2 linked regions of the Tribolium castaneum genome follow. The protein of the gene in region 2 purifies or fractionates together with the protein of the main gene of each other region. This does not show direct contact. Links are inferred from orthologs where the notes say so. Each region holds a gene or a part of one and is shown on either strand. Other genes may lie near its edges. The genes, in order: EMC5 and Flo2.

The links.
Region 1: the proteins of Flo2 (region 2) and EMC5 purify together in Homo sapiens (affinity purification with mass spectrometry; 3 studies listed by BioGRID and IntAct, with this or other methods). This does not show direct contact. The link is inferred for Tribolium castaneum from reciprocal best matches to the Homo sapiens genes FLOT2 and MMGT1.

Annotation. Positions count from the first base shown.
Region 1 is NC_087398.1:4,374,868-4,377,818, forward strand, and holds EMC5 (ER membrane protein complex subunit 5), read right to left. Parts: upstream 1,430-2,951; 5' UTR 1,293-1,429; coding exon 1,211-1,292; intron 1,166-1,210; coding exon 1,113-1,165; intron 1,062-1,112; coding exon 855-1,061; 3' UTR 767-854; downstream 1-766. Other genes in the region: mitochondrial uncoupling protein Bmcp, read left to right, coding at 1-208, 264-382, 434-494, 548-754; Serinc (probable serine incorporator), read left to right, coding at 1,636-1,671, 1,720-2,072, 2,121-2,415, 2,465-2,648, 2,698-2,898. UniProt on the Homo sapiens protein: Part of the endoplasmic reticulum membrane protein complex (EMC) that enables the energy-independent insertion into endoplasmic reticulum membranes of newly synthesized membrane proteins.
Region 2 is NC_087401.1:11,751,130-11,754,964, reverse strand, and holds part of Flo2 (flotillin-2), read right to left. Parts: intron 1,057-3,835; coding exon 760-1,056; intron 447-759; exon of another isoform or gene 309-446; coding exon of another isoform or gene 293-308; intron 1-292. UniProt on the Homo sapiens protein: May act as a scaffolding protein within caveolar membranes, functionally participating in formation of caveolae or caveolae-like vesicles. May be involved in epidermal cell adhesion and epidermal structure and function.

The sequences.
Region 1 (2,951 bases), on a different chromosome or scaffold from region 2:
GCAGATTATTGTTGAGTATAATGGCAGGGAGAGTGTCACTGTTAATTTGTGCTGTGCTGTGATAGCGGGGGCGGTGTCGAGCGCCATCGCCACCCCTACTGATGTTATCAAAGTTCGGATGCAAGTGCAGGGGATTCAAGCCAATGTGGGCCTGATTGACTGCTTCAAGGACGTTTACACTCACGAAGGAATCTCAGGGTTGTGGAAAGTGAGTTTCCGAAATTTTCTGTTTCTGTACCTTGTATTTTAATAATTTTTTTAAGGGGGTCAGTCCCACCGCTCAAAGAGCTGCAGTGATTGCCGCAGTTGAGTTGCCAGTATACGACTTTTGCAAAAGTCGGCTAATTAACACATTCGGTGATAATATTGCAAATCATTTTGTGTAAGTGGAAATTTTTAGCTTGATTGCAATAATTACAAGAAAATGTTTCAGTTCTAGTCTTTTCGCCAGTTTAGGAAGCGCGATAGCTTCAACTCCTATAGATGTAGTGAGAGTAAGTCTTTGTCACGTTAAATGAGTTTTTGGCTAATTTTTGCCAATTTCCAGACCAGGTTAATGAACCAAAGAAAATTAAAAACAGGTGGTCTCTTACCCGCCCATATTTATACAAGCACTGCTAATTGTTTCTACCAGACATTCAAAAACGAAGGTTTTTGGGCATTTTACAAAGGATTCGTCCCAACGTTGTTTAGGATGGGGCCTTGGAATATAATCTTCTTCATAACTTACGAGCAGTTGAAGAAATTGTATTGAAACAAATCAGCATTTCTTTTAAGTATTAAGACTAAGGGCATTATTTATTTTTAACTGTACAAATGCACGCTACAAAAGTATTTCGAATAAATAATTGCAATCAGTTGTGTTTTTTATTCCCTGTCTGATGCGGAAACGCGAGGAACTTGCCGCGATGACTGAATGTGTAAAACGAAGGAATGTTGCGGAATGTCTCCCAAGACTTGTTTTCCAGCTCGGCTGAGGCTTTTATTTCCTTGAAATCGCCCGCAACGTTCATTACTCCGTACATGATAACAAAAAGGCTAATTAAAGCCTGGATTATAATCTGAAAGTTGCGCAATGTAACAATATTGTCTGAAACACGTTAATTACGTACATCAAGCGGCAAGTGCGTAAAATCCAGCTCATTTAAACGCAAATACGAACGATCTAAAAAACAGTTTGAGGTTACGTCGATTTTGTTAAAATACTCACGTTGGGCTGCCGAATACGCCGAGTGGAACAGTGATAAAAACCCAATACTTAGAACAAAACGGTGCAAAAAGGTCGCTGGCATTTTTAATTATTTAATTTTTATTGAATAAAATGGTCAAGACTTGACTAGGTTTTTTACACCTTGTTACGTTGGCACTGCTATCGTGAATTATTGATAACTTGACGTTATATTTAACATTTGGGCACGAAAAACTATCGTTTTAGTCAAAATTTTCGTATTGTAGTTGATGCATAATTCATAAATTTGATAATCGAGCCGTTTGGCACACTTTACGGCCAAAACTTTAAATTTAGCGCGTGGTCTAATCCCCCAAGTCACTCAAACGTCAAAGTGAAGAAAAACAAAGAACGCACTTAATTTGCCAAAACAGTTAAAGATCGCAGTTTAATTCAGTTGGTGCATCATGGGGGCTGTCTTAGGCCTGTGCTCAGCTGCCCAGGTATGTCTCTGCTGTTTTATGAAGTGCCCCCCTACTGATCGATTGTAGCTGGCCTGCTGCTGCGGGAGCACTGCTTGCTCCCTATGCTGCTCAGCATGTCCCTCTTGTCGCAACTCGACGTCGTCCCGGATCATGTACGCTCTGATGCTGCTCCTGGGGACTATAACCGCCTGCATTATGCTAGCCCCCGGTTTGCAGGACCTCCTGCGAAAAGTGCCGTTTTGTACAAACAGCACGAACAACTATCTCCCGAATTCCGTCTCGATTAATTGCGACCATGCCGTGGGCTATCTTGCAGTTTACCGAATTTGTTTCGTTTTAACTTGTTTCTTTGTCCTAATGGCCGTCATGATGATTCGGGTGAAGTCGTCCCGCGACCCGAGAAGTGGCATCCAGAACGGGTAAGTCCCGGGAGTTGTTTCACGGCCGGTGGTGAATCTTGGTTTTAGTTTTTGGGGGCTGAAGTATTTGCTGGTCATTGGTGGGATAATCGGGGCGTTTTTCATCCCCGAAGGGTCGTTTGGGGAGACTTGGATGTATTTTGGGATGATTGGGGGCTTTCTGTTTATTTTGATTCAGTTGATTTTGATTATTGATTTTGCGCATTCGTGGGCCGAGGCTTGGGTCGGTAATTACGAGGAGACCGAATCCAAGGGGTGGTACTTTGCCCTCCTTGCGATCACGTTCCTTAATTACGCCTTGACCATCACTGGAATCGTTCTCCTGTTTGTGTTTTTCACAAAAGTAAGTATTTCGACCACGCACTGGACACGAGAACTGTTAATTTTTCCAGTCTGATGGTTGTGACCTGAACAAATTCTTTATTTCCTTCAATTTGATTTTGTCGGTTATTGTAAGTGCGATATCGATTTTGCCGGCGGTTCAGGATAAGTTGCCACGGTCAGGTCTTCTCCAGTCGTCAGTTGTCTCGCTTTATGTAACTTATTTGACTTGGTCAGCAGTTGCAAATTCGCCAGGTAATTGAATTGTTTTTTTTATACTTGAAAAATATTTTTTTTGGGTTAGAATCTAGTTGCAATCCTGGTCTTTTGGGTATTGTGGGTGCTGGTAGTACGAAAAAAGACAATGAGATGACTTTTGATGGTGAGGGAATCGTCGGTTTGATCGTTTGGATGTGTTGCGTATTGTATTCCTCTCTACGTTCTGCCAGCCAATCGTCAAAAATTACAATGTCAGAGAATATGCTGGTTAAAGACAACGGAGCCGGTAAGTTAGGAACTAACAAAAAATTTTCTTTTTTTTTTCATAGCATTATGTAG
Region 2 (3,835 bases):
AAATTAGATATTACGGTAAAATCAGTCAATTCACCAACGTTATCAAACGCACATTTTTGGCTTCTTAGGCGTAAACGTGAACTCGTTAGGTCGTGCCCAACTTGTTTAGTTGGAATTTGCGCCAATTGTGTCAGGTTTTGCAATTGAAAACATGACAAAAAGAAAATTATTGTCCATAATAGACACTTTATTACACTTAAACTGGTGAAAGCAAAAAAAATTAAACTAGATTGTACGTAAATGTGGACGAAGGCCAAACAAAGAAATTGTCAATAAACTAATTGAAACGAACCCTTTAACAACCGCATAGGTGAGTCCAACGGTCATGGAAACGTTAAAAGCACCCATCCATACCATCGACATGGCACTTGCAAAATTCAAAGTTTGCAAAAGAATCAGTAGAACTGTCACAGGATAAACTTATTAAGTTTTATATTAGCTCCCCACTATCGTCAAAATTGGAAGATTTAGAGTCAAGGATTTACAAGACGTAACGACTAACTGCATAATAATAATGCGACAATTATTGTTAATAATAAAAGATGCAGTTAAATAAACAACTGCACATTTCTTCACGTAATTAAACGAAAATCTGGTCGAAAAATTGTCAGAAATATCAGAGAATCGAGTGGGCCTTGGTCAAGTTCAGCCGCGACGTAATCGCTTTTCCTTGGTTTCGTTCATTGACCAATTGAGATCAATGGAATTTTTATCGTTTTTTAACAAATGTGTTTATCTCGGTTTTTCGAGAACACTTGCCTAAAATGGCACGCAAGTGCCCTTCCAGCGTCTGGAGAATCGTCGCTTTGATCTCCTTGACTGATTTCCCGAGAAACTGCTCCGAAGCGGTGTAGAGGAGTTCATCAGCTTTCATTATCTTGCACTGGGCCACTCCTGTGACCGTTAGGGGAACCCCCTGAGCAGTTTCCACGTTTCCGCACATGGGATTTAACGTCATCACTTCGAGGGACAGACGCTGGACGTCCGTCACCAACCACCAGGCCCATGCCCAGCCGCCTACGATCGTCACGCGCTTGGTCGAACCGCAGCATCCTCCTGCAAAAATTTAATATTGTCATTGTTGGCATATTGTGGGACTTGTGGAATTATTAGAGCGGAAGCAATGAAAGGGTTGGCCTCGATTTTGATAGTATTATTTTATGTTTATCGTGACTCTGTTAATAGAAAAAATAAAGTATGTATACCGGGACATGTGTATTTTTCATTCCGAAACCCACTTGCACCAATAAATCTGGTCACAGCTTGTGATACATTCCCACAATTTTACAAAATTAATTACTGATTTAATTAAATTAGGGATTTCGGTCATTTTCAAGTGGAGATATTCATAAAAAGTAGAACATGCTTATACTTGTAATTTATTAATTATATTAAGTTTTCATCGATATTCAAAAATTGTAACTAAATGAATTAAAATGAAGCCAGACAGCGAAACCTGAGTAAATAGTTGGAGTTGCAGATTCGTCTACAAAGATAAAAAAATTTCTGTTGAAAAAAATACTCAAAACATTTATCAGTCTTAGACTTTGAAAAATAGGTCAATAACTCTTGAGAACTATCGGTGTTAGCTAATAATGCTTACGACCTTTCGTTGAAAAAACACTTCAAAACGCCGTTGTTTTTTTTTCTTAGTCGAAATTTTGCCGAAAAATAGCAAAATTATGTCGAAAATGGTGTTATTTTTGCTTCTTTTAACCGCTTAAGCGAGATTTTGTGAAAACGGAACGAAAAGTTACTAAATTAACATGAGTTAAAAATTTCAATATTTTTTATTGACACAAAAACACTTCAAAACGCCGTTTTTTTTCTTGATCAAAGTTTTGTCGAAATTTTGCTTCTTTTAAAGGCTTAAGGGAGATTTTGTGAAAACGGAAAGATTAACTATTAAACATGAATTAAAAATTTTAATATTTTTTATTTTGAAAAAACTCGCCGTTTTTTTTCTTAACCAAAATTTTGCCAAAAATAGCATAATTATGTCGAAAATAGTGTTATTTTTCCTTGTTTTTACGACTTAAGTCAGACTTTGTCAAAACGGAACAAAAAGTTACTAAACATGAGTTAAAAATTTCAATATTTTTTCCATTTTTAAACGCTTTGTTTCATTAGAAATGCGTCTATTTTGAGGAACTTCATTGAAAATAAGCCCAGAGGTCAATAGATTTTTGTGCAACAAAATAGGAATAGTGAATTTTTTTCCTTTCTAGACGTGAAAATTTTTGTGAAAGCAAAACTAAGTTAATTTTCCCACTCAAATAAATATTTAAAACTTACAAAATCTCCTACCGAATTTTATAAAATGTTATATTTCAAGCGGCTTACTTTGTTTTATAAAGTTGAAATTATTTCGCAAAATTTTTCAAAAATCACTGAATTAGTTCAAAAAGTAAATTGTTTTGATTTTTGGGATATTTTAGCCCATTTTCATTAAATTACGCAGTTATTTAGTAAGATTTTAAAAACAATAAACCAAAATTTTTTAAAATTATTCAAAAATGATGCAATTTTTATATTTTCGACCTTTTATCTAGATAAAATCGCAATTTTTTGCACAATTTCGTTTTTTTTCTTGGTCGAAATTCTGTCGAAATTTTACCGAAAAATAGCATAATTATGTCAAAAATGGTGTTATTTTCGCTTCTTTTAACCGCTTAAGCGAGATTTTGTCAAAACGGAACGAAAAGTTACTAAACATGAGTTAAAAATTTCAATATTTTTTTCCTTTTTTAACCTTTGTTTTCATTAGAAATGCGTCTATTTTGAGGAATTTCGTTGAAAATAAGCCTAGAGGTCAATAGTGTTTTGTGCAACAAAATAAGAATAGTGAATTTTTTCTATTCTAGACGTGAAATTTTTTTGTGGAGGCAAAGCTAAGTTAATTTCCACACTAAAAATAAATATTTAAAATTTACATAATTTCCCACCGAATTTTTTTTTATAGAGACGCAATTATTTCGCAAAATTTCTCAAAAATCAACCAAAAAAATCATTAAATTGGATCGAAAACTAAATTCTTTTGGTTTTTTGGTATATTTTAGCCCATTTTCATTAGAAAAAACGCAGATGTTTAATAAAATTTTATAAATAATTAACCGGAAATTTTTAAAATCATTCAAAAATAAAGTAATTTTTATAGTTTCGGCCTTTTATTGAGATAAAATCGCAAATTTTTTTGCAGAATTTCGTTGAAATGGCCTTAAAAATCAATAAATTATTATTATTATTATTAAATTTTTAATTTTATATATTATAATATTACTATAATAATTTATATATTTATTTATATTATTAAATTATTATTAATATTAATTATTATAAATTATGTTTTTCATTCAAAATTCAATTATTTAGAATTAAGCGAAATTTCGCCAAAAATTACTTAAAAAATCATAGAACTGGATCAAGAATTGTGTTTTTTTTGACTTTTTTAAAATTAAAAGTTAAAGTTTTTGCGGAAGTGTGAAAAATCACAAAACTGTTTGAAAGCGGCATTATTTCGCGGCGTTGAAGATTTTTGAAAGTTTTTTTTCCGAAAACGCAACTTTTTGCAATATTTACACAAAAATAGACCAAAAAATCGCCTAATTGGCTGAAAAATACTGTTAGATTTCTGTGTAACGCAATTCAATCAAATGATCAATTATTTTATAAAATTTCTTCAGAAATATAAAAAATTTCGTTGACATAGATTGAAAATTTATAATTATACGTAAATACTTACTAATTTTTATGAATATCAACTAATTTTTTTTCTAGTTTTTGCATAAATTATGCTCTTAAAAAAAACATTCCTTTGACAAAAATAACCCAAATC